2 linked regions of the Tamandua tetradactyla genome follow. The protein of the gene in region 1 purifies or fractionates together with the protein of each later gene. This does not show direct contact. Links are inferred from orthologs where the notes say so. Each region holds a gene or a part of one and is shown on either strand. Other genes may lie near its edges. The genes, in order: FNTB and DYRK1A.

What was found.
Region 2: the proteins of FNTB (region 1) and DYRK1A purify together in Homo sapiens (affinity purification with mass spectrometry; 3 studies listed by BioGRID, counting the BioPlex papers as one). This does not show direct contact. The link is inferred for Tamandua tetradactyla from reciprocal best matches to the Homo sapiens genes FNTB and DYRK1A.

What each region holds. Positions count from the first base shown.
Region 1 is NC_135338.1:22,224,549-22,240,527, reverse strand, and holds the start of FNTB (protein farnesyltransferase subunit beta), read right to left. Parts: upstream 6,202-15,979; 5' UTR 6,100-6,201; coding exon 5,956-6,099; intron 1-5,955. UniProt on the Homo sapiens protein: Essential subunit of the farnesyltransferase complex. Catalyzes the transfer of a farnesyl moiety from farnesyl diphosphate to a cysteine at the fourth position from the C-terminus of several proteins having the C-terminal sequence Cys-aliphatic-aliphatic-X.
Region 2 is NC_135336.1:104,632,770-104,649,667, reverse strand, and holds the start of DYRK1A (dual specificity tyrosine-phosphorylation-regulated kinase 1A), read left to right. Parts: upstream 1-10,647; 5' UTR 10,648-10,758; intron 10,759-16,898. UniProt on the Homo sapiens protein: Dual-specificity kinase which possesses both serine/threonine and tyrosine kinase activities. Exhibits a substrate preference for proline at position P+1 and arginine at position P-3.

The sequences.
Region 1 (15,979 bases):
ATAATTTCCAGTGTATAAGCCTTTCACATCCTTGGTTAAATCTATTCCTAGATATTTTAATTATTTAGATGTTATTGTAAAATGAACTGCTTTCTTTGCAGATTGTTCATTGCTGGTGTACAGAAACACAATGATTATTATGTGTTGATCTTGTGCCCCATGACTTGTCTCATAAAGTCATCTCCACTGTGACAAAATTAGTTTTACCTTCATCCACAATTTTTACAAGAAAAGTAAATTTTTGCTTTCTGACTTTTCTTCTGAATTGGTCACAGTATCTGTCTGGTTCTCTCATATAAATAAAATAAAATTTTTAACACGTTTAATTTTATATCTGTATGAGAGTCATGGTTTTACATTTTCGTGAAAATTACCTTTTAAAAGTAGATACATATGGTATATGATTTGCGAATATAACTCAATAAAACTGCTTTTAAAAAAGTAATTATATAGCAGGCGGGCCATGGTGGCTCAACAGGCAGAGTTCTGCCTGCCATGCCAGAAACCCAGGTTCGATTCCCAGTGCTTGCCTATGTTAAAAAAAAAAAAAAAAGAAAAAGTAATTATATAGGATGAATGAGATGTGCATACATTAATTTGGATATAAAAAATATTGTGTTAAAAAAGCAAGATAACAGAGTATGATGCAATTTGTGTAAACTCTTAAACACACCTTACACAAAGAGTAAGTAGAAGGATACACACTGAACTCATGAACTCATGACAGAGGTTGCCTCTGGATAGGGTGAGAAGCTGACTGAACTGAGGATAGAGGTTAAATGAGACTTTGGCTATATTGTAATTGTTTTTCTTTAAATAAATAACCAGAAGCAAAAAAATTAAAATGTTAACAACTGTTAATTCTAGGTTATAGATGAAAATAGCTGTTATGTTATTCTTTTGTATATATAAATACATATCAGTGTGTGTATATATGGTTTATATATAATATGAACTAATATACATACAGTTTGTCTTTTTCAAAAGATGGAGAGATTGTGCTTGACTCTAAGAGTCAGAGATTAAGTGATTTCAACCAAGTCACTAAGATTTGAGGCCAGTGGTTATAAAGAAAGATCTAACCATCTGTCTACATTCTCTACAGCTCTATTTAAAAGATATCTCATGGAGTTTTTCTAGAAAACCAATCAGTAGAAGCACAGAATAATTTCCATTCCCAGATGAGTGTTAAAAACAAATTAATGCATATGGTACTTTCTCTTTCACAGCTTCTATCTAAAACCAATCTCATGGAGCACCAACTTTCATCTCATGGACTATTACCACCCTCTTTTCTACATCTCCCCCTCTCTTCCCGAGGAGGGTCCTTCCAGAAAGCAGATTTGCTGTCTGAGACTTATGCTAATGCGTAAGCTTCAATAAAAGAATTACTAATATATTAAATATGAGGCAAGGATTTTTCATAAAAAAAAAAAGATCTCTCAGAAAAGAAAAGTCACTTTACAATCACTTTCTTACACAGTTCCTCTTACAGTTGGGAGTTCTTTCAATTACTTTATTTTGAATACAAAGTACCAGTTGGAGGTGACGCGTTAACCTAAAACAACTATAGTCAAGGGCTGGTTTTGGCTGCTTATAGAAGGAAAGCTGAAGGTATCAGCAAAAAAGGAGGCCAAATTACACATAGATTTAGCAAGTATTCCTGGGGATATAAACTCAGTTCCAAGTGTGGGAAGTCAATATAAACCAACTTTTAAAGATAACTTTAAAAAGTAACAGATTAAGTGGTTAACTTGTGGCGATCACACCAACTGGACACATTACAAAAAATACTAATGTTATACAAATGGATACTTGTAGCTAGGGATTTAATATTCAATGACAGTATCTTACACACACTGGAAAAAGATGTATCTCAAAGAACTTAAAGCATGATTTGAAAACCATACTGGCTGACTCAAAAAGTGGCTCCAGTAATGACAGAAATATTTGTGTTATTTTACAAAGTCTGCGATTTTAAACAGACATATTACCTAAATTTAAAACATAAATTTTAAAGTAGACATTTAATTAGATTCACCTACACACATGTATTTTCAAGTGGCCCAGAAAACATTATTTGGACTTTTAAATTTTTATAATTTTTTTTATTTGATTTTTTTTTTTTACAGGGAAAGTAGGAGACTCCTTGATATTTGGAATTGCCTTATAGTTGGGCATATATAGTATACTGAATTTCAATAAGGAATAAAATAGAGTAAAAACAGATTCACATAACCTACTGACCACTCAGCCAAGCAGAGCTCTGGCCCCTTCTATCAGAAACCTTTAAAAAAAAAAACAAAAAAAAACCATGATCATATTTGGTTACTTGTTCCAACTCAATTTAATGGTTTTCAGAAACTATAACTAGAAACATCAGCAGAATCTAGAATTCCTTCCTAGAACCCCGGGCTGTGACCTCTTTCAGGATCTGCAGTGGCTTCCTGCCCATCACTCTAAGTTAGTACTTCAGCCTGGCCGCAATCTGGACCTACCCACAGAGCTGACCTAATTTCCTACCACATTCAATGTGCACCCTCCATTCCCTATAAGCCTTTTCTTCATTTGTCTGCAACCAAGCCTGGGTCTTCTCTCCTAATGACCCCTCCCAGTGGAATGGAGGTCCAAACTCCATTTATAGCCCAACTCTAATTCCAAATTCTCCATGAAGTGGTCCTAACTGCTTCAGCCCAGACAGATGGCTCTTTCACTCCCTGAAAACCTACAGCAATACAGTTATAAATTTAGCACATAATCACATGCTGTCATAATAATCCTGTGATTGCTTCAGACAAATTCTTTTATTCTAAGAGAACACAATTTTAAGGGCAAGGACCAAGACTGATAATTCTTCCTTATTTCCCCTCAGAGTTGACTGTCACTTGATTAAATATAGTATAAGGACAACCTGCTATTTGAAATGAGGGATGCTTTTGCCCCTGTCTAAGGGCAAAGTAAAGGAAAAACAGGAGTAGTATCTTCCATAAACAACTGTTTTTTGCAAGGCTGCTCCTCTGCAACTATTAACCTACTGGCCTGAATCACACAGCCTTTACACTGGGATGATTCCAGATGGCACAATAAGAAAAGGAGCCTCTGATGACACAATACATACTGTGCACACACATTTTCCCCCCTTTTTCTCCAGGCCTAGAACAAGTTTCATAAAGGCATCAACTTGGCATCTTTTGTTCACTGCCTTAGCGCCTGGCACATAGAAGGCACTCAAGCATATGTTAATGAAATATTAATAAATGAAAATGAATGAATGGAACAGAACAACCCATAGAAAAGGGCTCTTTTCTCACCATTTAAGGTTTAACTTCCATTATCAGATTATTATTTAACAAACAAATAAAGTCTCCTGAGAATCAGATAGGAGGCAGGTGAGTAAGCTCTTGTTCTTATTGACTATGGCACCAAATTGAGTTCTGTCAGTAAATCTCTGTGAATAAATGGAAGCTTCGATCAGAACCCAAAGCAGTGGTATCCTTTGGAATGAACTTCTCCTAGGAAGGTTAATATGTCTGATGAATACACCATTATTAACCTACCAACCCAACACTTCTCTAAGCCTCAGCTGCCTTATTTGTAAAATGACTGAATGCTGGGACCCAATAAAAGTCATCATGATGATTATCAAAACATTGAGGCAGCTGTGAGACACATACCACATTACCTTCCTACTGTCTTGAACCACTTATCCTTGGTTTTTAAAATGTGAGCTGAAGTAATGACATGGAAAAGAAATTCAAGATGCTCTATGATCTACCATATAGCTGGGTCCAGATTTGACAGACGCCCTATAACATCAGTGTTCCACATTAAAACTTTACCTCCAGTCTTGGCCCTGTCACTGGCCCACCCTCTTGCAGAGCAGAACCTTCTTGTATCCATTTTTGCATCACTCATAGCGCCTAGGTACTTAGAACATAAGTACTGTTGTTTTCCTGGTAGGAACTCTGCAGGGCAATTGTTTTAGTTTACTAAGGCTGCCAGAATGCAATACACCAGAGATGGACTGGCTTTTATAAAAGGGATTTATTTGGTTATAAGTTTTCTAATTTGGTAAGACACATGGAGACATCTGCTGGGCTTCTCTCCTGGCTTCAAAATGGCTTTCTCCAGGGTGATTCCTTTCTGCATCTCCAAATGTCTGGGTCTGAGCTGGCTCTGGGTTCTGAGCTGTGTTGAGCTGAGCTGTGCTGAGCTCTCTTCTGACCTCTCTCTCTTAAGCCTCCAGCTAATTAAATTAAACATCACTCATCGAAGAAGGCACTCCCCCTAGCTGACTGAAGATGTAATCAGCCATAGATGAATGTTACATGCTGATGATTTAAGTCCACAGCAAGAGAACCCGGGACTATCATCTGGCTAAGTTGACACCTCAACCTAACTATAACACACTCGAATGAAAAAAGTAGTAAAAGAAAAAGAGAAAAAGCTCCCCATAATATTCCTGTTTTCCACTTGCCTCTCTAACCTGGAAGTCCCTGTTCAGGTCTCTAAAAGTAACAGACCAACTTCTGAATCCCTTTTCCACCAGCAACCTATCCATACTCTAATCTACTGGGTAAATTCAGTTAACTATATAAAAGGTGACCTCACAGTCCAAGGTCAGATACACAAAAAAGGGTTTGGCCTGACTCAACAATCCATCATTTAGAAATATCACAAACATCAAGTAGAATTCTCATTGATGGGAGATTTCTTTGCAATCTTCTGCAAATGACTTCTGTAGAAGGAAGCAATAATGGGTTAACTAACCAGGGGACCTTGATTCAAAAGGTAAGGGTTTCCTTTTCTACCCTACACTTCACGAAGCTTAAATCTCCAGTTCCATTATTTTCTCTGCTACTATGTGCATAACCTTGTACTTAGGCCCTCATTTTTTGTTAATTTATAGTCATAGTTATAAATACACAATATAATAATTATAATTATTGCCATTAATTTTGCCTAAATAGAGGCTTCCAACTTCAGGTATGAAAAACAAGGCAGGTCCCACCAAGGTTAAGCCCAGAAACTGATCTTACTAGGAGATCTTATTAGCAAGCAGCCTAATGTGAGTGCTAAAAAATAAACACCCTGACTGACCACTTCTCCAGGCAACAGATAGGTAAGCATTTCCACAATAACTAACTCGGAAAAATTCCAATTGGGGAATGAAAAGAAAAAACTATAGCTCACTACTCATTTCCTAAACACTCTTTTCAAAGTGATAGGTTCAGTTCTACCTCTAGGCCTTAGCGAATGACAAGTAGTCCAAAATTCATACTTTTATTGTAACACTTTCCAAATTGTATTGTTTTTCTTTCTGGCCTCTCCAACTACACAGTACGCTGCTCCTGGACAGGGGGTACGATTATTTATCTTTGGATTTACAGCTTTTAACATTGTGTCCAATACACAGCTGGTGCTCAAATGACTGAACGACTAACATGATATTCACCTACCACGCAAGCCCCAAATATGGTATTGCAGGTCAAAAATTAAACAGGTTATGGACCGACATGAGTGCAGTCTGGCCAAGTCTTTCTGCTCTATGTACTGAGACTGAACAGGCTGAGGGAAGTGCACCCTTCATCCGAGAACCTCCCGCTGCCACTGCTGAATGGACTAGGCTCTCCGACCCGCCCGGGCTGCTTCAGCCCTCCAGTCACAGAACAAGAGTCCCTCCGCTTCCTAAGGCAGACGGGACGCAGGTACTGCCCTCTTCTCCAGGCCCAACCCTAGCAGTGACCCTCTCCCACCCGGCCCCATGAAAGCTCGGCTCGGAAGCCCAAACCTGGGCGCCTACAGCGTCCCCGCGGGGAGGCGCCCTGGTGCACTGTGGGAGTCGTAGTTCCCGGCGAGTTCCGCGGACACGGTGGGTTCCCACGGCGCCCGGCTGACCGACTCCCGCGCCCAGCAGTCCCCGCGCGGGCGTCTCGCCCCGTCCCGCCACCTCACCTGTTCTATGGACGTGACTGTTTCCACCGAGTCGTCTTGCAACCGCTCCTGCGCGTGCTCCGGCCTCAAACTATACAGCGGCTCCGACCAGACGGGGGAGGAGGATGGCGGGCAATAGTAGGTAAAGGAACTCGGAGAAGCCATGATCAGGAGAACAGCGGGCGGTGTACAGGACTCAGCTTCCTCAAGCAACAACGCGCATTGAAACTCGAGCGGGTTAAGGCGGTACGGACACCGGGTAGAGTCAAAATATATAGGAACGCGAATCTCTCGCCTCCTCCCTACTTCGTTTCTGGGAGTGGGTCACTGGGATGCTGCCGCCCCCCACTGGGCAGAGGAACTGCTGCAAGAAGCGGTTGCCCGAAGTGTGGGAAGGATGTGTACATTTGACTTTCATTTCAGAAGGATGGCGTAGGATGATGCCTTGGTTCGTTAGGGAAATTAAAAACAAAAACTTCAACACCATGCCAGTTCTCAGTTGTAATGGCAGGAATTTGCACTTTCAGGTGCCCGAAAGCCAGTAAGTATAACTTTAAAGGTCCGACAGCAATTCCATCAGCCTTATGCTATTGCTAATAGAATTATTGTGCACCTTTGGGTATGTGACAGCCACCTGGGAGAAGGCAACTGCTTCTCAACAAATGTGTAGCATTGCTGTCTCACTACTCAGTGATGGAGGAACGGGGCATTGCCGTTTTCTCCTGTCCCCTCGGAGGTTACATTTGAAATAGCAGGAACTAAAATGCGGAAGGAACAAGTATCTGGGAAGCAACCAAGGAAGTATTCAGTCATTTATTAAGCAAATATTTATGAAGTATCTACCATACCTAGGAATGTAAAAGTTAACAAAACAAGATCCCTGCAGATTGGACAGAATTAAAAATGAACGAACACAGGAAATATATGAAGACTTGTGGTAAATGCTATGAAGGAAAATAACAGGATCGTCGAGGAAGACTAAGGGGCAAAGGGATGATGAATTCGTTTGGGTGGTCGGGCCAAGCTTCTCTGAGTCAGTGACTTTATCAAAGACAAAACTGCACAGGACAATGTTGAACAGGCAGGGTTGACTTTATTCAGAGGCTGCGATAGCAAGGGAGAGAGAGAGTAGCTCAACTCCGTTGAAACAAAGGACAGAAAGCTTTTTAAGGACTCATAGTGGGTTGGAGGGAAAGCAGTGGAGGATGATAAGCGCGGCAGATCACCGGGGAGGGTGAGTGATGAGGCGGCAAGTAGGAGCACTTGGCTCAGAATGTTTTCGTTTGAGGTAATTGGGCCACCTGGAGTCTGTAAAGGCCAGGAGAGAGGAGGAGGGAGATAAGGAACAGTACTCTGTAAGGAGCCTCGCTGGCGCCTGTGGAGGGAGAAAAGAGGGGCATTTTGGGGGCGTGTGATATTTAGAATAGTTAGCATCTGAATTGTCTTTCTTCCTTTTCTTTTTCACCCCGTGCAGTCTAAGTTGCTTTTATCTACAGCCCCCCCACCCCCCACCCCCCACCCCCCGTTGGGATATTGGTTTCCAGGGAGTCAGAACAGGGGAAGGAGCAAGCAGGAGCCTGCAAGGAATAAGACTGGCATTTGAACCACAGCAAGTTCAAGAGCTCATGCTGCAAATAAACATCTATGTTTGTATTCATTATAACTCTTATTGTGTGGATCAATCATTGTATATGCCTCCATAAAACCAATTTTAAAGTTGTAATATTAGGAAAACTCTGCTACTACCTCTGGACCCCCCCCCCCCCAAAAAAGGAAAAGAATCTCGTTCAGGGCCCACATCAAAAAGACTGTACCAAAATTAAAATACTAAGAGGGTGGGGGTTGTATAACAGACTTTCCAGATAGACTTGCTGACAAGATCTATTTCCTGCTCAGAGCATTTTACTCCCACTCAATTTCAAGTCACATATCTAGGATCCAGGGAACAGTGGTGTGATATTTCATAACCAACCGTTCCCCTGTTCTCAGTCTGCATTCAAATAGAAGCCCTCAGTAAGATTCCAGGGTTGCCGTTGCCAGTGAGATGGCATAAAAGCCGCAGACGGGAGAACAGTACCACCACGCCCCTCTTAATGGTACTATTGCAGTTAAAGACCTGTAGGCGCCAGGATGTTACCAAATCTGGGAATCTACGTGGAACTGTATGGGTTAGACTGGGATGTTGACATCGTATTGTCTTTCCCTTAGTTCTGTTTTGGAAAAAAAAAAAAAACTGCCTGATAAACACTGGGTCATATTTAAGGATTCAGCCTTCTTTGAAAAGACTTGCTTTGCTTAAGAGCTAGAAACTTAACATTTCAATCCCAAGAATTATGTTTTTGAAAAGAGTAGTTGGGAAGAGTTTTGTATCACAATTGTTACATCTGTATAAATGCACCTAAAGCAATTGCAAATTATATTCTAGAACTAGAACTCTGTTTCACAAATGTAGCCTCCTCTGCAGTGGGATCTGAAAGATGTTAATAGGGGTATGGCAAGAGTCTCCTGCAGGACAGTGTCTGTTCAGTCATTAAATATTTCAGTAACCCCCAGTTGCTGAGCACTGAGCTAGGTGCTGAGGAGACAGTGAACAAGCCAGACACATAGTCTGTGCCCTCATGAGTCTCATGATTTACCCAAAGAAACAGACATTAAACAATAATTATAGCATTGACTATTTCATTACAGTTGGGGAAAATGGCATGAGTGAGAAGCACAAGGTGTTGTGAGATTGCGTAACAGAGAAGACCTAAAGTAATCTAGTAATCAGGAAAGACTCCCAAAGGGAAAAGGGTTATCTGAGTGAGGGGACATTCCTGGCAGAGCAAACTCCAGTGAAAACCAAAAGTCGACTTTTGAAACAAGTCTTTTTAGAAACAAGAAATGGAAAATATAAGGTGTTTGTACTCTATGTAAACGTCGAGAAGATTAGCTTCTGACCAACAGTGATATGCCAGTTTCCCTTCCTCTGAGTTTAATAAAACTACTTGTTAAAGAAGCAGAATGAATATAAGTATTGGTACCACAGGGAATGATGTAGTTACAGGGGAACACCTTAATAACCAATAGCAACCCAGCTTGAACTGCAGATGGCTTGGATTTATTTTACTCAAATTCCTGATATTTTTCCTGAGTTAAATTGTAAATCTTACTTGTTTCTTTTTTTAAAAAAAATGCAGAGAGTGCTATTTGTCCTTCTATTAAAAGCAGAAAAACAAGAAAAAAAGAGTAATGGCTTAAATAAACCGCTAGAGGTCGCTCATAGGATAGGCTTTAAAGCTGCGTTACTCTCCCAAGCCTTCTGTCTGTATGATTTGTTTCTCTTCTTAATATCTTGTGAAACTTTGTAATAATACAACCTGGAAAGTTTGTAAAATAGAAAGAAACCACCTGTTATCCCAATAGGAAAGTATTTTCCTCCCCACATTTACTCCCCTAGTAGCATCTGTGCTGGATGGAATCCATCTGGATGGATGACTTCCCAAGCTCCTACCTAAGGCCAATTCCTACCCATCTCCTCAGACCTCACCCAAGGACTTTACTCCAACGACTCTCCTTTCTCTCTCCTAAACGTCAAGGTTTTCCTTTACTTGATCGTGCCCATCACCCTAAAACATGTTATTTGTCTATTCTTGAGGTGGGGGGTGGGGGGGTGGACATGTTTAACCCTCTCGGTTCTACTCTTCCTCCAGTTACCTCTCCATTTCTCATTTCCTTTTAGAGCAAAAATCCTTCAAATAATTACCCCTACCCAAATCTCCTATTCCTCTCCTCCAACTCATTCTTGAACATATTTCAACCTGGCTTCCAAATCAGCGCTTGTCAAGTCCCCAATTAAATGCCATATTGCTAAGTCCAATGGCAAATTCTCAGTTCTCATATCAAGGCCTCCTGTTTGACTTCCAAGCAACAGCTGACATGGTTGATCATTCCCTGCTCCTGAAAACATATTCTTGCCTCATAAAGGACACCACAGCCTCCTGGTTTTCCTTTTGCCTCATTGGCCTGTGTTACTTCATCATCTCCCTGACATCTTAACTTTGGGGTTGTCCCAGTTTCCAGTCCTTGGACCACTCCTGCGTCTACACTCACTCCCTTGTGAGATCATGCAGTCTCTCAATGTTTTCAACGCCACCATTAGGATGGAAACCCCCTGATTTATTTCTCCCACTGGATCTTGCTCCTGAACTCCAGAGTTCACATCTAATGCCTAACTAAAAGATAGCTAATAGGCATTTAACCCTTAACATCTCACAACAGAGTTGCTGGTCTTTTTTCCCCAAATCTGTGTACTCATCACGGTCCTTCCCGTCTCAGTTAATGGTAACTCCATCCTTCCTGCCCAAAGACTTTGGAGCTGTCCTTTCTACCTCTCTTTCACACCTCATAAATCCTGTTCAAAATATAAATCCAGAGTCTGAACATTTCCACTGCTAGTGTCCTGATCTAAACCATCATCATCTGTCACTTAAATTCTTACAAAAGTCTCTTAATTCTTTTCCCTGATTTCATTCTTATCCCTCTACAGCCTAACTCTAATGCAAAAGCCTTACAGAACCTTTAAAAATATAAGCAAAAAATCAACCCTTAGCTCAGAGCCCTTTCCTCCTCTCTTTCAGGAGTCTTCACCATGGCCTTCAAGACCCAAGAGACATCTCTGACCTCTTCTTTTACTCTCCTGCTTGTTCCCTCATCCAGCCATGCCGACCTCCTTGCTCATCTGTGTTTTTTCAGGCACACTCCAGCCTCACACCTTGTACCCTTGCTCTTCTGTCTCCTTGTAATGCCCCTTCCCCAGATGTAGGCATGGTCTGCTCCCCCACTTCTGATAGTCTTTACTCAAATTCTCAGCCTTTCCTGACTTCCCTATATAAAGCTGCCACACCCTCCCACTCTAGTAATACTCTATCCCTCTCTCCTTTTTAATTTTTCTCCACAGCACTTACCACCAGCTAATATAATTTATATTTTACATATGTTTTTGTTTACTGTCTGCTTTCCCCCCAACTAGGATGTAAACTCTACAAGGCAGGGATTTTTGTATCTTTTGCACATTGCTGTATTCGGTAGTACATGGTAGGCATTATATAAATGAGTTAAATGAATTGAATGATTTCCAGTTACCATAATAAACATTTGAGTGCTTGTTTGTTTAACATATTGTAGAAGATAATGGCAATGAACATAATAGTAGTCTTACCCTTCCAATAAATATTAAAATACAAAATATAAATAAATATATAAATGAAAATAAATATAGTTTAAAATAGAAAATAAATAAACATGGATAAATATAAAATAAGACATACACAAAATGCAATAGGAGAACTGGGGAAGGAGTAATTAATTCTAATCTATTTAAAGAGAGGGTCTTCTAACATATAACATTTGCGTTCAGTAATATTTTCAATAGAGTAAATAGTCCGTCCTGAAAACTTTAAATGATTACATTAGAATTTGGAAATTATGAATTCTTATTTCCTGTAGCACAGAAAAGGAAATGCAAAAATGTTTCCCATCACCCAAAAAGAACAGCTTTTGACTACAGTGATTTTATGGCACAGAGAACTATGAGCTTCGGGAAAAAAATCAATAAATCATCAATTCTACATGCTTGCATGATTTTGTGTCATACATTGATGTAAAATAAATCACATTCCATATTATTAATAATTACATACACTCTCACTGAAAACCTGTACAAAGTATTATGACCCTGAGTTCTGTTTGGAGTTTAGTATGGTGAAAACTATTTTACAGCAGAGACAAAATTGAAGCCAACTGGACACATCGTTCATACTGAAAAATCTGAGAAACGATTTTCAAGACTGTCAAAAGGCAACAGCAGAAGTATGGTCTCCAGTGCATACTGGAGACTCTCAGCCCTGGTTGTGCCCTGGAGTCAAGAAAGTGTTCAAAAATTAACTGTGGTGATGAATGCACAACTAGATGATGATACTGTGGACCACTGATTGTCCACTTTGGGTGATTATATACTTTGTGAATATATCTCAGTAGAATTGCATTTAAAACAAAAACAACCTTCTACTCTAGATCCTCTATTTCCTCTTTCCCCTCTGCCCACTAGATGCCAATGTCCATGGCAGCCCTCTAAATTCAAATTTTCCCAAACCTGCATACTCGTGGTCCTTCCCATCTCAGTTAATGGTAACTCCATGTGTTCCAAAAGTTACAAAAATCTCAGTTAACAGAGATCTTCAGTGTTTTACTCTCCTGGACAAATTGGCATAATCACTTTATAGATTCAAAATTATTTTCTGGGTAAATATTGTGACCTCTTTCAATAGTATATGTTAACACTCCTTTCAGACAGCCTTTCTGAAGTTTGCTAACTTATAGCCACAGGGTCAAATCTCCCCTCTCCTTTGAGTATCCTGAAGTGTCACCTTCCCGATGGGAGTGTCCTAGAGCCCCTCGTCCCCTACTGTCTATAAGGCAATCTTGGAGGGGCTCTAACATAGACATTCCGGTAAAAAAGGAAAAGTCCAAGATCCTGAGAGAACTGGGGTCTGGTGTTTTCCAATCCTTGGGGGCAGGCAATCAGTCCTTCCTAGAGCAATGTCTTACTTTTTAAATTCAATTGAATCCCACAATAGGAGCCCCTTGTTGAAGAGAGCAGAGCCTCCGCTGGCTGGGTACCTCAGTGACTTCAAGGGAACAAAGCCACTCCCACTTCCACCCCTTGCTGCCCATCAGACTTAGCATGAAAGGGAAGTAAATCTTAAAGGTGTGAGCCCCTGAGCTCTAGGAGTTTATCTGTTAGAGCAAGCCACATTGCCTTAACTAATACAATGATCCACTGCTGCAAACATAATTTTAACAGGAAAAGTTAATATGACATTTTGCACGGCTGTGGTTGCTAATCATATTTCCCAGCTCCAGTCTCATGAAGGGAGGGATCTCTGCTGAGGTTCACCCATCACAAAATCCTCCATAGTCACAGTCTAGACCTCCTATCCGGAAGCCTCAGGAAGGACACCACAACTTTCATTTCCTACTCCGATAGGATGAAAGAATTCCTTAAAAACAAACTGTGCACAGGAAAGCATATGTGATGAGGCGCCTAAATTTGGTCCTGAAGGTAGTGGCCAGGACACAAGGACAACTTGAAATGTACTGTGGATCATTTTGTATTAATATGACTTACAGTTAGGATAGTTTCCTTTGGAGTATTAAGATTCTTGACCCCAACGACTCTCTAACAATTTGCTCTGTCCCCTCTTTCCTTGTCAGTTCAGATTTCTTTTTCCATCATTCTCTACTATTCAGTGATAGAAAAGAAAAAGGATGTAAATGGAGGACAATACTGGGTATGGTGGTGTCTGTTCAGCTTCTCCTGATTCTGAGATAAGACAGAAGAAATCTTTCTGCAAGTGAGTGTATCACCTACAGACACCCTAGAATTGGAAACACAGGTATGAGTGTGGAAGAGAGGTAGGCACAGGGCTCCCCCATCAGGGATCTGGCAGCAGGCTGCCTCTCTTGTGCATCTCTCCAGTTATTCAGCCGTTGCTATGGGCAGATCAAACAGTGGTGCCCTCGGCAGCTGTTTAAACAGGGAGCATGCTCAGTGTGATGGCAGGGGGGTGGGGGGATGAGAGGGATAAGAATCAGCATAACATAACTGAGAGCCTTATTTTTGGAGGCTTCTTGTGGGAGATGCATCCATTTACCATTTCTCAGATGTCTCCTAACTCTACTGAAATCTCACCCAGGCCAAGTTGACCAGAACTGGGGAGGATGCCAAAATGTCCCACTAAGTGGCTGGGTTGAGGGGATTGAATTAGGCATTTCATTTACAAAGACTCTAGTTAGAGCAAACTTTGTTATCTCCGTTAGTCCATGTGGTTCTTTTGCTAACATTGTCCCCAAATCTTAGATTCTCCACCTCATAGAGTGGAGAGACAGAGACAGAGAGAGAATGACAAGTTCTCTGTAAGACGACTCTAAAAGTGGCCGAGCCAGGATGAGAATGGTTAATGGAAGCTTGGATTTCTAGGCCATTCATCCCTCCCTTCCCCTTTTTTTAAGTGATATAAGCTACTGAATTTGAGGTCAGCCCAGTATAATGAAATATCCTCACATTTTTACCAGTATGAGCATTTTATTTCCCTGGATGAGTTCAGAAAACCTCACTCCCTTTCCTGACTTGCCCAGGAAAGCCATTTCCTTCAAAGGGAAATTTCCTCTTGGACTGAGGACTCCACCTAAGAATGCAGCCTCCCCCCTCCCCCCCCCACACACACACTGTACCTTCCATGTGCAGCAAAGGAAGAGCTGCTAATAACCCAGTAAGGCGGCCTGTGGAGTCTTTACTGATCAATAGAAAGGCAGCTAAAGAGTCATGTTGGATTAAACTGGACCTCTGTACTTTGGTATGGTGGTCTAGGGGGCTAATTGCAGTAGGACAGGGCCTCAGTTCAGCTAAAACATCCTTGGCCATATTCATCTGTGGGATTTATCACCCAGGCATGCATAAGGAAAACATTGCAGAGTGTTGTTTGTCCCTCGGTATTTACTGAATACTTACTATGGATCAAGTGATGTGCTGAATCCTTTCTACCACACATTACCTTATTTCATAGTTCCAACAATCCTGTGAGGTAGTTACTCTAAATATACCACACCCTTTTTACACATGAGGAAACTGAAGCACAGAAGGGTTCAGTAACTTGCTCAAGTTTGCAGTTGGTAAATGATGGAGATGGGACTGGAACCAGGTGTGCCTAATCCCAGAGTCCTCAGAAGGTGTACTAAAGCCAGCAAAGAGAAATGCACCTGGAAATCTTAACAGAAAACACAGGATCAGTTCCTTAGCTTGTAATGTAATCAAAGTAACTGTCAGGTTTAGGATTTTTCCCCTCTTTCTTATAAATTTAGACACTTTGCCTGATATATAACTGTTCGAGTAAATGGACATCCCACTTCCCTTGATCGGTTACTGAAAAATACATTCTCCCTTCAATACCAAGCCTCAAAACAGGGGCACAAATGCACGCGCACACACACACAATTTCTTCATCACTTAAAAAAAAAACCTATTGGGCTAGATTTGCTCTCCTCTAATACTCATTCGTAGGAATAGGCAATTTTCTAAACTCCAGGGAGTATTTATCCGCCTCTCCCTGGTGTGAATACATTCAAGTGGTAGTAAATTAGGTCTTGAGAGAGGCCCATTCATTCTTTGGTGCCAACTGAGGTAGAAATACTTAGTAGTTTGGAATAATGCATTTGCACCTGAGCACCTGCCCGGAGCAGCCCAGACGCTAGTGCATTTGGAAATGCTTTTTTATGATCATCTATCTTTTCACCCTTCTGAAGGAGATCAGCAGGCATTTTCCCCCTTTAAAGAAAAAAAATGGGCATGAGAGGGGGATGGTGACATAGTCACACAGGGTTCCTGGGAAGCCAGATGGCAGGGAGAGCAGAGCTGCAGCAACGCTCGTGAGTGTTCTTGGAGAGGGCGACTCTGAAAGTAGCCAGCTGTTTCAATCCAGACCCAGGCCAAGGCTTTCCATCCTGGGGCGAGCTCAGGTGAGAACTAACCACCTTGGGACCGGGATGCTTCCGCGCAGCGGATTCAGGAGGAACAGGCTCAGGATGGGACTTGGAGAGAAGTGATGAGACCGGAAAAACCAGGCTCAGCAGAGGTGGGCTGTGAGGGCTCACCCCAATTCCCCCATCCAAAAGAACCAAAGCGTTCTCCCCGAGGGTCCCGGCACGAGGGCGTTGGGAGGTGAGCCCTTCCTCTGACCGCGCGCCCCCTCGGGCCCGGGAGCTTGTGGGGCCCCGCCTGACCTCCCGCAGCGGGTCCGGCCCCCGGCTGCTGCCGCTCGCGCTCCCCGCCCCCTCTCCTGGGCGGTGGCGGCGCAGGGGGAAGGGGTGGGAAGGGGTGGGCAGGGGCCGCCGCCGTGCGGCTTTCTCCTCCCACCGCCGGCGCGCGGAACGCAGCTGAGCCGAGCCGGCGCCGTGCGGGGCTCCAGCCGCAGGCGCGCTTCCCCGCGCGAGCGAGTGGTGAGCGGGC
Region 2 (16,898 bases), on another chromosome or scaffold:
TTGATGAAATTCTTTGATGCACAAAAGTGTTTAATTTTGAGGAGCTTCCATTTATTTATTTCCTTCTTCAGTGCTCTTGCTTTAGGTTTAAGGTCCATAAAACTGCCTCCAATTGTGAGATTCATAAGATATCTCCCTACATTTTCCTCTAACTGTTTTATGGTCTTAGACCTAATGTTTAGATTTTTGATCCATTTTGAGTTAACTTTTGTATAAGGTGTGAGATATGGGTCTTCTTTCATTCTTTTGCATATGGATATCCAGTTCTCTAGGCACCATTTATTGAAGAGACTGTTCTGTCCCAGGTGATTTGGCTTGACTGCCTTATCAAAGATCAAATGTCCATAGATGAGAGGGTCTATCATCCTTGGTTTTTACTGGCTTAAGAATACTTTCAAATGACAAAGCTGGGGTTCCTTCTATACTTTTTTCCATTTAAGAGGGATGCCTCTGCTTCTTGCTGTTGGAGCTGCTGACTTCTGACCACATATACAGTGGCCCAGACACAGCCAGAGGTACAGCAAATGTCCTTTGTAATATGGAATAGAAATCGAGTCATAGGAAGAAGTTGAAAGACAGGTTTAACAAGAAGGGAGGACTTGAGGTTGGTATTTAATTACTTAGGGAAATAAAGAAGGAAACAGATTTTGGCTGGGAGCCCACTGGGCTCCTGATATTGGGGGCTTATTGCTATATATAATTATTTCTGAATTGAGAAGTGGGAAGGAACCTATTTTATGATGTTCCAAAGATTAAGGACCCAGGCCACTAGGTAAAAACGATAGAGGTATAGTATCTATTTTCCCACTAATTGCCAATAATTCATTGTAGAAAATTAGAAAAGGCGAAAAATGCACGAAGAATAAGCATCACCTGTAATTCTACTGCCTAGAGATCAATGTAACAAAAATTTCCTTTAATATATATATATACTTTTTATTAAAAATTGAAGTCATATAATAGATATACCTTTTTATAACTTTCTTTTACCAACTCATAAACCATGATCATTTTTTTTCACATCATGAAATATTATTTTATTATGTCTGCTGTTTCAATATGTTGATATACCATATTGTTTTAACCAAGACCCAATGTTGGACATTCAAGTCATTTCTAATGTTTCACCATGATGTCACTTAAGGATGTTCTGGAAGGATGGAGGGGGTCGACCTGGGGAAACACTGCATGTGAGCAATTGTTGAAAGAAAAGAAGATGTTTAGCCTAGGAAAGACAAGACTCAGGTGGGAAAATCACAGCTTTCTTCAAATATTTGAAGGGCTGTCATTTGGAAGAGAAAAAAACTCATTCTGTGTGGTCTCAGACGTGAAGAATTTGAAGCAGTGGGTGGAAGCTGTGGGAAAATGAATTCATAGTGTGCGAAGATGAATTTTCTATGTTTAAAGACAGCCAAAGAAGTTTTGGGCAACTTCAGCAAGTAGTGAATTTCCAGCCCGTGAATATGCTTAAACATAGGCTAAAAGGCACTTTTCTGACTATAATGTATTCACACTTACAATAGAATGACCTAAGTATTTCGAGAACATGGAAGAAGAAACAATTATATATATTTTTGTCTTTAGAAGGTTCCCGAAAGTTAAAATTTGTATTTGGTTCTCTTATTCTTTATATTAGGGCCAAATATTTATATAACAATCTACAGTTCACAAAGTGTTATAAGTAATCTCCCATCTGAAATGGGAAAAGTGAGATTCAGGGAGGTTAAGTAAATCATTCCTACAACCAGTAGGTAACTGAAACCAAACTAGAACCCAAGTTGTCTGTCTCACGACCACTTTTTTCTCTAGTTGTTATTATTATTATCAAGGTCACTAATCCCTTCCAGAAAAGGCAGATTCACAGGACATTATCTATACCCTACTTCATCTCAAGAAAATGAAAACATCTTCAGTGACTAATGTGAACAAATTGTCACTGTATAGTTACCAAATAGACTCTTCAAACTGGAAATTCCATCTCTTTTCTTCCCATGGCAGAGACTTCATGATTAGAGTTTTGACAGGTAAGGTGGGGCATCTTCCACCTAATATCTTATGATTCTAAGGTGTCTCGGGCACCTTCCTCTCAGGACAGCACTCCTTTCTTTGGTGGTCTGAGACCCCTCAAATTAATTTACTTCCCTATTAGCCTTCTGTCTCATATTTGCCTCCCACTCTGCCAGCTCAGCGCTCTGGAACACAGAGCTTCGTCCCTGAACTCCATCTGTCCTGTTGCAAAGCACACAGCCCAGAAAGTGCTCCAGCCGAACGCAGAATCTTTTTTTTTTTTTTTTTAAATATTTTTATTGCGAAATCTTCACACACATATAGCCCATACATAAGATACAATCAATGGCTCACAATATCTTCACATAGTTGTGTATTCATCACCATGATCATTTTTAGAACATTTGCATCACTTCGGAAAAAGAAATAAAAAGAAAAGAACTCGTACATCCCATATCCCTTATACCTCCCTCTCATTGACCACAAGTGTTACAATCTACCCAGTTTTTTTTACCCTTTATCCCCCCCCATTATTTATTTATTTATTTTATCCTTATCATTATTTTTTTACTCATCTGTCCATACCCCGAATGCAGAATCTTTATTCTTGTTTATGGCATCCACCCCGAGTCCTTGCCTCCAACTCAGCACTTTTGGGCTAGACGATCAAGAAGAAAATGTCAAGATTCTCTTTTGGGCGCAGAAAGGGCCTGGTCCTGTCTCGGGTAATCAGCTCCCTGCCTCCGCTTACCCCACCTAACCAAAGCTAATCAGAAGCTCCCTCTGATAATGAGCCATCGGCCACCTGAAAGACACCCCCATTTAAGTCTAAATCTCCACCACTCGCCAAAGCTGCCCGCTTCTGCTGCCCTTCCACTAACACCCCCCACCCCTTCAGAAAGTCTCATCCAGTACAGGAGGGCATGTCAGGGACAAATGACCACCTCCTCCCAACCCTAGAAGGTAGGGCATCCTCTGGCTTTTCACCATTTCCTGGTTTCAGCTGCTGGTACACTGCATCCAGCTCTTGCTTTTTTGCAATTCCTTGGTAACTATGTTCTTTCAAATACATGTATTTGGTGCCCAGTGTTTACCAGGTATTGGGCTAAGCACTGAGCATGAAAGAGAACGGTGACAGAGACAGGTCTTTGCCCTGGAAGAACTTCCTATTCTATGGCAAGTGGAAGAGGAAAACATTCACAATGAAAATACAGGGAGTAAGTGGGTTCTTTGAGAAGGGAATGAGACCTTCCAGGGGAGAGGACAGCAAACAAGAAAGAACCAGTTGTGTTCCGGGAGCTTAAATGGGGAAGGGCGTGTGGGTAAGCCCCAGCAGAGGCTGGGAGGTCAGATCATGACGGGACTGAGGAGCTGAACTAATGAGAATGAATGTCATTCCAAAAAACACTAGGGGAGACCTTGCAAAAATTTCAGCAGGTAGTGATGTGATATTGGGATTTTACACAGATTCCCATACAGCTTTAGAAAGAGCACGAAAGATGAAGGAGCCAGGGAGGCTTGTGTTTTTTATTTTTTTCTATTCTGTTGGGATTTTCAAACCATGTTCTGAAATTGTTTTTATTTCAACAACAATAACAACAAGATCAGTGGCTCCTTTTGTTTTATTCTTTGTACTCCTCATGATATATATTATTATATAAATGATACATTATATAATATGATAACATAGGACATATCATATATTAACATGATGATGTTAATATACGTTAAACACTTTTTGCTTTTAAAAGTCGGGAAGTAAATCCAGATGTGAGATTGGACAGATTTGTTGCTGTACTTCATGTATGGGCTTTTTGGTGGGTGACCTGCCTGGAGCTGCTGATAGTACAGGCAGGCTGGAAGCTATTATTTTTGCATTTGGGATATAGCATGGGTCTAATAGGCTGGAGGGATGTCAACAGACTTGGCCACACAGAGATCCTGCGCTGTCCAATGAGAGAATACCCAAATCAACTGTTTCCCCCCGCCCCAGATGGGGGGCTGTGGGGTGCACAGGAACACTGGTTTGAGAAATTCTGCTGTGCTGCACTAACCAGCTACATGGTTGTTGCTCACATTACTGTATCTCTTCAGTGGAATCTTCTTTCTGCTTTGCGGACTGCAACAATCTTTCCTCTAGCTAGGAAAATTCCATTTACTTTCAGACCCAAAGAGATCATTTCCCGCTTCTGTACAAATCACTGGAGAGTTCCCCCTAAAGTTTTATGACCGTTGGCCTCATGATGGATGGAGAAAAATAGGAAGAAAATAGCAGGAGCTCAATATTAATTTAAAAATACAAAACAAAACAGTATTTACAGCATGCCAGATATTGTGCTAGTGACCCAAAGATGAAAATATAGTCACCTTATCCTTGAAGCACTTAGTTTGGAAACCAATGTGCAAAAACAATATAATCAGATGATACCACTGTCTCAACCACATGCATATCTCTCGTATTGAATTGAAACAAAAATATTGAAGACATCAGCACTAAATGTCATACCAGTAAGCACTCTAGGAATATTAAATGATGTCTACTACATACCTAGATTTAAAAGCCTAGGAAATAAGCCAAAATGCTTAAGAACTATTGAGCTAATACCCCATTGAAAGAAGTTACTTTCGTAGACTACTGTGCCTCCCACCTAATTTTTAAATCCATGTATTTAATTATTTTTCATAGTTTCATTAGGTCATTAGCCATTTTACATGGATGAATCAAAATATAAAAGAGACTTCCTTTTCAAGTCTTGCCAAAATGTTGCAACAGGTTTAAGATATTCCCAAATAGTGTGGAATATGCATTTTAATCTAACAATTTCTTATTTTCTATTTAACCTTTATCTTACTGTCATGGGAAAAGAAAATGTTAATGATAATTCATGGAATAATGTTAGTAAACATTCTTACCTAGTTGGAAGGCAATGAGTATTGCTCTTTTTTTTTTTTTTTTTAATGGCACCATTAGAACCACATCTTGGCAGAAAATAACCTTTCAAGCAACCTTAGGATGCTGGTAGAATGGGTCCGGGGAGCTCTGGAGCTCTTGATCCTTGTGTCTGGTGAAGAGGTGGTGGGGGATGCAAACCTGATGATACTAGGAGCCAGGAGGAAGCCTGACACTACACAGGGCCAGAGCTGGAGCGGCTGCGATGGTGGATGAGCGGTGTCCAAACACATGAGCTAGCCTAACGACAGCAAATGGCCTTCCAATTTCCTTTTCTTTCTTTCTTTTATTCCAGTAAAATTGCCAAGGAGAAATCAATAAAAAGATGATCTCTCTCACCCTCCAAATGGGCAAAGGATATAGACAGGCAGCGCACAGACAGCCAGTACACATATTTAACAAATCATCAAATGGTCAAAGACATGTAAATTGATACAAGAGAGTATGGGTAAAAGTCATGCTTGCATGATACTTTTTCCAGCGCAATTGGTGAAATCATTTCTGAGGGACATTTTGGCAACATGAATCAAGAGCTTTTCATTTCGTAAGGAAGCAACTGGACAGGTGTGCAAAATGTTAATATATAATGTTCGCGCAGTTTTAATTGTAGTGAAAAAGTTTCCTAAAAATAGAGGAGTAGGGAGTGCATGGGTGGTTCAGTGGTAGAATGCTCACCTTCCATGCGGGAGACCCAGGTTCAATTCTCGGACCATGTACCCTCCCCCCCCCCCCAAAAAAAATAGAGGGGCAGTTAAATGAACTATGGCTCATTCAAGAGATGTAACCCTATGCAGTTGTTAAAATAATTATCTAAATTTTAATCAACATAAGAAAGTGTTCATAACACGTGTGCGTGTTCTATATATGTTGTGTGTGTGTATGCACATGTGTTTCACTAAAAATGCCTGGAAGGTTATAGGCCAACATGAAGAGATTAGTAAGATTTACCTCTAGGCAGGAGGGGGGTGGTTGTGAGTGATCTTTATTTCTATATTGTTTTCTGTATCGTAAAACTTTCTGGGTTGGTCCACAGTGGCTCAGCAGGCAGAATTCTCAACTGCCATGCTGGAGACCCGGGAATCTGGTGCCTGCCCATGCAAACAAACAAACAAACAAACAAAAAACTTTCTGTAGTGGCATTTTTACTTTTATTTTAATATTTTTGAACTTCTGATGTAGTGAATTGAAATTTAACTTCTTGGTTCATAGCACACTGAAACCGTTGTCAGTTTATATCAGGCCCCCTCTTTTTCATTAGAGAAGTTATAGGTTTACTCCAGAAAATATGCATAAAATACAGAGTTCTTATATAGCACCTTATTATTAACACCTTGCATTAGTCTGAGACATTGGTTACAATTCATAAAAGAACATTTTTATAATTGTGCTATTAACTATAGTCAATCATTTACAATAGTGTTCACTGTTTTGTGTTGTATAGTCCTTTGGTTTTTTTTTTATTATTCTAGTAACATATATACAGCTCAAAATTTATCCCTTTAACCACATTCACATATACAATTCTGTGTTCTTAATTACATTCATGTTGTTGCGTGAACATCACCACTCTCCAGTACCAAAATTTTATGATCAACCCAAATAGAAATGGATTAACTCCTTATTCCACCCCATGCCCTGGTAACCTATATTCTAGATTCTGACTCTATGAGTTTGTTTATTCTAATTATTTCATATCAGTGAGGTCCCCCTTTGTGTTTTAATTTATTTTGTTTCATTTTAATCTGATGTACATGCACTACTTTTCAAATCAGGACAAACCTTAAAGCTTGGAAAAAGGGAGCAATAAAGAACCTTCACTGTGAGGTCAAAAAACAGTAGTGGTGACAGATTCTGGACCATGCCGCTGTCCAGGGAGGACTTGTGAGCCCTTCACCTTCTCACCTGGTGTGAGGAGCAGAGCTAGGAATACTAGTAAGCTTGCTTATTCTTGGAAAGTTTAGGCCATAACTCCTAGCAGGGGTCCAATTACTGAACCTTTGAGCTCAGTGTCATGAGCCACAAAAAGTGGTCCCCAATCGTGTGTGGACCAACCAAAAGAACCCACCATCTTGGCGCCGATCTGGTGACATGGGCACTGCATCTCAGTTTTATCTGTATTCCTTAGCACAGTGCCAACCCCTGGAAGGTGGGCACCTGGTCAGTGAGCGCCAGACCCTGGGTAGGCACTCAGTAAATGATTAAATGACTGCTGAATGAATGAATGAATCTACCATATTAACTTAAGAACAGATTTGTTTGCTGTGAGTTTTTCTCAATTAACAGTTCGAGTCTGAGATGAGAAAAGTTGAACAAACAACCAGCAGAGGTGAAGTTTTTCTTTCCACATATTTCTAATAAGGTTGTCACTGTTCTGTGCTGTCATACAGACTCCTTGGGAATAAGTATCAATTCCATTTAGTATTTTTATCTGGAGTCAGGTGGCGATGGCACTAATTCCAACCTTGAGGAAATAAATATCCAGAGCTCTTTACATCATAGGAAACACATAAGAAGAAGTGGCAGAAGAAAAATTCTGAATTTCTTAGATATTGGCACTTGAATTTTAACAGAAATCATCTTGGTGTAGTGGAAAGAACCTGAGCTTTGCAGTTACATCTGGGCTTGAATCCTGGCCTCATCATGTACTGGTTTGTGACTCTAGGAAAGTTACTTCATTACTCAGATTTGTTTTCTCATCCATAAAATGGGGATAAAATTTGCTGTGAGGATTAGAGATATCATAGAATGTGCTCGGTAAATAGAAGCTTTTATTACCTTTGCTTTTTAGGTTATGATCTTCGTTTTTATTGGTTAACTTCTACGAAAAGACACATCTGGTAAGTGGATCCGTCTAGGAGTCTCAGATGACAGCAAGGATTTGATCACCGAACCTGATCAACACCAAACTGGCATCTATGCCAGAGTCCTTTCTGTCTACATGTGTTTACCTGTTTGGAGCCAGCTATAATTTACAGGCAAAGCTTATTTAAAACCACTTTACAGCATTCAACCTGACACAACAGTTCGTTAATCAATGTTGTGTAAGGTTGATCACAATATTGGGGGGAAAAAGGTGTTGCCTTCTGGATATGAAGATCAGCAATACCTTCTATTTCTGCTTGTCTATAAAATCAAGATTCTGCCTCACTCTGATAATCTTCTAGATTGCCTCGACTAAAGACAAGAACACAGTGCCTGAGACTTTGCCTATTCTTTCAGGGTTACCAAGAAAATTAATTATGCAGGTTTCCTCCATAAACAGCAATAAAAGCTTGACTTGACTTTAGTTTAGTGTTAAAGATTGTAAATGCTTGAGTGTTCTGACAAAAGTGAAACCATGGTGAATGCCGACAGAGGAAGGAGTTGGATGAGTAGTTCCATTGCCTCGGTATATCAATATTCTCCTAACTGTAGAAAGGAAACATTTGTAGAAAAACATTAAAAACAAGCATCTTTCTTTGAGTCACATAGGACAGGGAGCAATATTTATTATAAGAATGTTTTTCCTTATACCTAAAATTGTTCATAAGATTCTATTTGTTGATACTGTACTTGTGGGCACTAAAAGATAGGGAAACCAAGCTTAGAAAAAAAAATCAATAGATCAGTGCCTTTTGGTGTAGTATATACACACCCACCCACACACATATACGCTTTTAAATTTAACAGGTAGGTACTATTAATTTGGATTTGTACAGATTACAGTTTTCACTCTGTGGCTGTGGAATACAGTAACCAGCATAGCGTGCCTCAGTTTTAATGCTTGGGGAGCACCCCCAGCAACATTTAGCCAGACAGAAAGAGTAGTCAGAACAAAATTAAATGAAAGCTGGAAGAGTAATAAAGAGTTTTGATTGTTCAGAACAAGTGGCCAAATCAAGAACCCGGAAGCTGAGAAGATACATCAAAAAGAAAACCAGAGAGTTGGACTTACGACAAGGATACAGTAATAATAGCCCGAGAGGATTAATTTAAGGGGAATTCCGAATGAGAAGGAAGGCTGTGCCCAGATAGGTGGGGAGGGTACGGGAAGGTTTGAAACAGGTGGGAAACCATGAAGGAGGGTGCACAGCCTTAACAAATTTTTATGGGGGGGCTGCACTCGTAACTATTGGACGGTGGCAGTAGTTTCTACAAAAACCAAGCGGTAGGACTGAATTGAGGTGCCAGCCGTAGGGGCATCCCTGGTTCCGGGGAAGCGGCCGGAATTCCGGAGATGCCCAGCCCCATCGCGGCCTCCGCGGGCATTTTCCGGCGAAGGGGAGACGTGAGTCCTTCGAAGAACAGTTTCAACCCACGGACGTGTGCGCCCAGGCCACCGAAAGAACCCCGGACTAGCAGGGAGGGTGCATCGTCCGCGCGTGCGGCCCGGGGGAAGCGGCGGGCTCCCGGGCCCCGCCGGGCGCCCGCAGAGCCCCGCCCCCCGCACGCCCCTCCCCCGCCCCGCGCGGGCGGGGCTGCGGGCGCGCGATGCGGAAGCGCCGGGCTCCGGGGGCGGTGGCGACGCGAGCGGGAGGCCGCGCGCGCACCTGGGGCCGCAGTAGGCGCGGGCGCGGCGGGAGCAGGGCGGGGCGGCCAGGGAGGCAGTGGGCGCTCGCGCACAGGCCGGGCCTCTGCCTCGCTCCCCCCTCACCTTCCCTCCCTTGGACCGTCCGTTCCTCTGGTCTCCCCTCCCCCGAGCGAGCGAATCACGCGCCCTCCTCTGACACTCGTAGCGGGCCCGAGCTCCGAATTTATCCTTCACGTGACCTGAGGGGGTTGGGTGGTTGGTCCGGGATGGAGGGGGCGAGGGAAAGGAGGGAACGGAATCTGCCGTTACCCGAGCAACAGGCCCCGCCCGCCCGTTTTGGGCCAGGGGGCGGGAGGAGGACGTCAGCACGTCAGCCGGGGTTTTGCGTTTTGATTGACAGTTGCTATAGCGACCGGGTCGGTCCGTCGCCATTTTGTTGGTTGGTTTTTTTTTAAACCCTTTCGCTTCCCGCCCGAATAATAATAAAAAGCCCCATTGGAGTGAGGCGGGGGTGGCGGCGGCAACAGCGGCGGGGGGATCCGGGGAGACTGCTGCTGTTGCTGCTGCCGATCGCGGCCCAAGTCGGGCGCAGGGAGCGGACACCCCGAGCGGGGGGTGCGGGTGCCGCCGCCGCCGCTTCTGCTGCTGCTGTTCCTGCTGCTGCTGTTGGTGCCGCTGCCGCTGCCGCCGCCGGCGAGCGGGCGGGACCGGTGTGAGTGTGAGAGTGTGTGTGCGAGCGAGCGTGTGCGAGGGCGAGTGTGCGTGCGTGTGTGTGCGAGTGTGTGTGTGTGTGTGTCTGTCTGTGCGGGACTCGGGGGCGGGCGGTTCGGGCTCTTCTGGCGGAGGAGCCGCCGCGGCCGCCGCCGCCGCCGCTCGGGCCCCGGCGCTTCTCGCTGCGCAGGTTTGGAGCGCGCGCCATTTTGTGAGATTTACAAAATCCTCCTCGGGAAGAAGCAGCCGGGAGCGGCCGCGACTGGGCGCCCGGCCTCATCGCCACCGCCCTCAGCGCTGGGCCGGGCCGCGCGGCCCCGCCGCCCGGGAGCCGGGGTCCGGGGACTGCGGTATTTGCCGGGAGGGGGCTGTCGCCTCCCCGGCCCCGGGCGCCGCTGGAACCGCGCGCCGGCGAGAGACTGAGGAGGCTGCGGCGCGGGCGAGGAGCCGAGAGCGCCGGGGGCCGAGAGAAGCGGCCGGGGCGGCGTTGGCGGCGGAGGCCGCGGCGGGAGCGAAGCGGCTGGAGCCCGAGGCTGAGACTCACCGGAGGGAGCGGCGCGAGCGCCCCGCCATCGTCGCGGTGAGTGTCCGGCCCGGCCGCGGCCCCGCCCGGCCGGCGCTCGGCTCCCTGCGCGGCCTGCAGCCGGGCCCGCGCCGAGCGAGGTTGGCCGGGTGGAGGGAGGGACCTGCCATTTTAGGAAGCGGCGCCGCGGGCCCGGGCCCGGCCGCCGGGGGAGGGAGCCGAGAGGCCCGGTCTCGGAGGAGAGGCGGGTGCGAGCCGAGGGAAAGTTGCGGAGGGCGGGAGGAGGGCGCCGCGGCCTCCGGGGAGCCGGGGCCTGGGGGCCAGAGAAAGCGCAGACCTTCACTGGCCGCCCGAGCGAAGGGGAGGAGGTTGTCTTCCTCCTCCTCCTCCTCTTCCTCCTCATCCTCTTCCCCCAGCTCCTCCCTCGTCCCTCCTCTCGGTCCCCACCAGTGTGGGAACCGCTGGGGTTCTTGGCAAGGACAATGCACGGTTAAGAAAATGGGGCCGAATGCGGGCTGAGACGAGGGCGGCCGGGCCGAGGCTGGGCTCCGGGAAGGTCGGAGCCGGATCCCGGGGCATCCCTTTGGGGGTCTGAGCTCGAGTGAGGGGGCTCGGCTTGCTCGGAAGTTGTGCGGGGAGTGCAAGTAATAATCCCGGCCACTCGAGAGGAAGGAATGACTTGTTTAGCGGCTGGAGGAGTTGGTGACTGGGGATGGGTGAATTATAATTGATACCTGGCTAAGACGGCGAAACTTCGCAAGTCTATTTATAGACCCAAATCCACTCTCGCTTGGTATTCACCAAAGCTGCTGAATACCTCAGCACTTAGCAAGACGCTCCTCCCTATTCGACAGTAGTTAAAAATGGCAAAATTAGTGAGTGCTTGACTCCGACTACTTATCTGTGTTTTTTACCCAGCCCTAGATTATATGACTCCTGTAATCTGGCACTCGAATACCGGCACGGCTTGGTTCTTAATTTCGCCCAAGGATCAGAAAATACACTTTATCACATGGTTTTCACACGTATCCAAAGTTCAAGACCAAGAAGTGGCAGGCGCTTTACGTGTATTAATGATCCCATTGGCAGGAACGGTTGCCCATTATACAGATGAGGACCTTGAGCCGTGAGACGGGTAGTGACTCCTCCAAGGTTACACGGCAGCGGGGACACGAAGAGCCGGGAGGCTGCAGGAGCTGGGGCCCTTAACCACTACCTTATGAAACTCGTTATTATAAATACTTGAGAATTTTGGAACCGTTTGTGTGTAGTGACTCAGGGTTCTAACTTAGAGGTTGTGTCCATGTCTAAGTCTAGTGTTCAGCTTAGAGTTAACTTTGGTTTATGGAAGTGGAAGGAAAGGGTTGCGATGAGGCCTCCTTAATGAAACTTGTCAGGCTCCCCTCTCACACCACCTCCTCCCCCACTCCCCCCCCCCCCCCCCCCCCCCCCCCCCCGCAAGAAAACCATGTAGTCAGTTTTTGAATGGAAGGGATTGAAAGAAAACTTTTTGGTGTGTATTCTTGACAATACAAATTGTAGTCATCATTGAAGTATTGATGACTCAAAGTTTTGTGTAGCTATTTTTAGTCATATTTCATCTTTAAATATGTAGATTTCCTCTATGACACTTTATACTCTACATATATCAAGTGTTAGTAAAAATGAATATATTTAGTTCTTTGATTTTGGAGTATTTCAATAATTCAGTAAAATTATCTTTAGTTTTTGTTTCCTTAGATTTCTTATACCTTGATGGTTCATTTACTTTAAAAGAATATTATTTTAAATTAGATTATAAGCATGAGACTGGAACTACTAAAATTCCATGTGCTGAGGTTTTAAAACGCAAGAAGGTAGTTTCAGAGAAGCAGGAGTTAAGAAAAAAGTTTGCTTGGTCATAGTTAAGATTTTTAATGTACATATGTCTTAGGCTTACCCCAGTATTCTTAGAGAATTTACCTTGGAATAGCAGTGGTGTTTATGGTAGCTGTCCAAATGGTTTAGACATCAAACCTTCCCAGAAAACGAAGAACTGCTATGAATGTCTACACCATGTTCTGTGTAAAACTGGTGTAAAAGCGCACATTTATTTCACAGAAACATAAGTCCAGAAATTAATTCTAGTCTCATCCATGTCTGTAGGGTGGGTTTGTAACACCTGGTGGATATGTAAAAAAGAGTTTAGATTTGAAGGAATAGAGTTGTAGGATGGATGACTGGTCATCATTGATTGGTAGAACCAGTGATAGAGGGGAAATGGATCTTAGGATATCTTATTAAGAATTTGAAATTTAGGTATAAGATGGTTTCTTAAATGTATTTAAAAAAATTTTTGGTGGGACCTGTTAGAAATGTAAACATACAAAATTATTGTGACCTAGGAATTAAAAAATTAATAAAGTGCAGTCTGTTAAGAGGCACTAACATTCAAAATAAGTGGGAAAAATCTATTAATTTGCAATGTCCTGTTTGGAAATGTGGATAGTTAAAAAGATTCTTGGGTAGAATTTTTTCCCCTCTAGAATATTGTCTGATGTCTGTCCCTCAGATTTACTTATGGATAGTTAGTGCATTTATTTATGATTTGTAGCTACCACGTGGGATGGGTAGTGGTCAGTGTAACAACCAGTATTTGCAAAATTTACTTAGTTTTTTCGTAGGTGGTCTGTATAATTTAACTGCAAAAGCAAAATTCGAGATAGCTTATTTTGTACTTGTACAAAGAAAAATTGCTAATTTGCATTGAATTTTGGGTATTACTTGAAAACCCTTTTTTTTTTTAAAGAAATAGCTTAGAAATTTAGACTGCCCAGAGGTGTTTTCACATGTTTATGTTTGGCAAGTATATAGGTATGGGAAGAAAATTTGGATAGAAATAACTTTATTATGGGTGTGCAGGGAATTGCCTAAGATTAATAGAAGAGGAGGCTTAGAGATTTGTGACTCAATATATGTGATAAGATGTGTATCAGTTTTTCTTTGCTTTGGTGTTAGCTTTTCTCTTATCCCAAAGAGCTTTCCTATTTCTTCTAAAGATATTTTTTAAAAACCCTCCTACCCCTAGGAAAAAACCCTAACCATCCAAAACCAGCAAACCCTTAAAATTTCAGAAAGAGATTTTATAAGAACCTGCTCTTCACCCTCCCCCCCATTTTACCAGTTGTACAGTTTTGTTGTACTCATCGGTAATTTAAACTGTGAGTTAATTTCGTTGAGGAGTGTTTTGATGTTTTTACCTCCACAGGCACTTGTATATTTTCCATTAAGAAGTAAAGAAATTAAAATTCAAACATAGTCACCTGAAACTTGATGCTGACACAACTTGCCCTCACAAAGTGAATTGCATGACTTGAATAATAGCACCTTCTGTGTACAAAGTGAATATGCCTCTTAAGACTTTTTTTTTTTTACCATATGTTATCTTGATAGTTAAACAATTTTTTGATTTTTAGAGAAATTGTGGTAATTCATAACTCAGGGCTTGCACGTTTTTGGATTAAAAATTTTGGGTGTGTGTGAAAATTTGTGTTTAATTGCTTGGAAAAACCATCAAATTAAATTATCTCAAATTTCTCTCCAGGCATCCCCAAACGTAGGATTCTTCTTTAGAAATCTTGCCTTATATCGGTGCTGTAATGTTCAGCTAGAGTTGTAAACTTTACTATTGGGTACGTGAAAGTGAAATGGTGTCACTTCATGTGACTAAAATAATTATTTTGACTCTAGTAGCTACATGTAGCCTTAGTTTCATTTTTGGGTATATGAAAACTAAGTGATTTGGGAATATTGTTGTAAAGTAGCTAATGGTTTTTAAAAGTTAGGCTTTTGCTTTTATTTTGAAGTTCTACTTCTAAAGTTCTGTAACTAGTTAAAAATCTTTATTGGAAAGATAACTTAGAGAAAATAACATTGAAAATTTGAAATGATGTGCTTCCTTATCAGCATACTTTTATGATAGTCTAGAACAATTTTAGTTTCTTGTGCTAGAGTTATGTATCCTTTGTTCTAGAAGGTGATTTTTTAAAGTTCATATTACTGTTAGAATGAAGTTTTGACGAGAGAGAGAGAGAGAGAGAGAGAGAGAGAGAGAGAGAGAGAGAGAGTGTGTGTGTGTGTGTGTGTGTGTGTATGTATGGGAACACGTGCAGTTGTAATAGTTTAAAATGTACCCTTACTCTTATTGATGAATTGTTTTTGAGTTTTGTCTCCCTGTAATTGAATGATTATTTAAATAGATTTTTGGAGGGCTCAGTGAACTGGCTAACATGGAATGAAATGGCTTTCCTCATTGATTCTATTTTAAATATCATCCATGTGTATTAATATTAAATAGCCCCTTAATTTTACTAAGTATTTGTCATTTCCAGTGATAAGGGTTGATTATTTTTAAAATTTCATGGACATTTGTGGTTAAGATTGACATCTCTGTGTTATGTATTTCAGTAAAAAGATGCTTTACCATGACATCTTTCCAAAGTCTGATGTCTAGTTGTAGGTAGCAGTTGAGGCAGCCTGATACTGTGGAAAGAGTGTTGGCCTGTGAGATGGTGGTGAGCAAATGATCCAGACTCACGCAGACCTGGACTTTTCACAGTTTCTGCCACTCCCTGGTGCTTGTGACTTCAGGCACAGTGATTTCATTAAGCATCAGTTTCCTCATCTGTAAAGTGGGATTGATGGTACTGGCTGTAAGGTTTTTGTGATGATGGTGGTAATGCCTGTGAGTTTCTTAGAAGCTCTCTCTCCCCCCCTTTCTCCCTTCCCTTCTCTTCATTCATGCTTATCCTTTTGGTGTCAGCATAATTAGCACTTCTTCAGAGAGGCCTTCCCCAAATCCATAGACTATGCAAGGTTTTTGGCCATGCGTTGTTAAGGACCTTCTGTTTTTCACAGCCTTTATCACAAATAGGTATTAATTATGATATCTTTTCTTCTTTCCCTTAGATTGTGAGGTTCATCAGGGCAAGAATAATGTCTTTCTTGATCATGGCTGTAATTCCAGTGCCTGCCATATAGCAGGGGTGTGTGTGTGTGTGTGTGTGTGTGTGTAGACAAATAGACATCCTACCAAAGACCACATATCCAAGACTGTTTTGCAGATAAATGTGGCCACATGACCAAGTTCCTGACTATTTGGGTGAGAGTAGAATTCATGACTGCAGCCTCCAGATTTTAAAGTGGTGAGGATGTACCTCCTGCACACTCCCGTTTTGCACATTGCATTCCTGGATTGTGGATGTGGTTGGGAGCTATCTATTACTATGTAGAAAATGGTAGCTCCTTAAGCATTAGAAAGCAACAAAACAAAAGGAACCAATGTTCCTTATAACATGGAGCCACCATGTAAACCTTAGACTGTTTAAACTTATTTTGATGTGGTATGAGAGAGGAATAAATTCTTGTTTAAGTCACTATTTGATCTAATTAATGCACATAGGAAGTTAAAATTTGTAATAAATATTAATTTAATAGCTACCTACCAACTCTAGAGCTGAAACTGCAATTGTATATTCTCATTTCAAGTCACTGCAATGCTTGCTTCCTATTGGGTAACCCACTACTGAAATGACTGTACAGTACCACCTTATGTTTATATGGCATTTTACACTTTTACGGAGACCTCATTTATAGTACCTCATTTCACTTTTCCACAGATCTGAATAGGTCATATATAGGCATGGCATATACAGGACACTGAGGCTCAGAGAACCTGCTTTGCCCAAGATTACACAGCTAAGGAGTGGTACTCAAGATTCAGCATATAACTTTCTCATTCTTTCATGCTATATAAGCTGCAAAGGATGTTTGGATATGTGGTCTTTGGTGGAATGTCTGTCTGAAAATCTCTGTTACTACTGAAGAAAAAGAGAATGGAGGACACTTGATCATTGCTTGCCACCCTTTGAAGGTTTTAGAAGAAACAATTACAGAAATAAACTACAAAAAGACAATTTATTGCACTAATTAGTGCTTTGTTTTCTGTATATGGTCATTTGAGCTGTGATATACAAATTCAAGTGAATCATCAGTTATCAATATATACATATATGTAATCAGATTAAAAGAAAATGTGGCTATACTTTTAGAAGTGAAGGGATTTTGTGTCCAGTGGCACATTATTTTCTGACACTTTGTTTTCTGATGGAAACATTATTCTTGATTGCTATGATTATGTGTATGTAAACAATATTTGG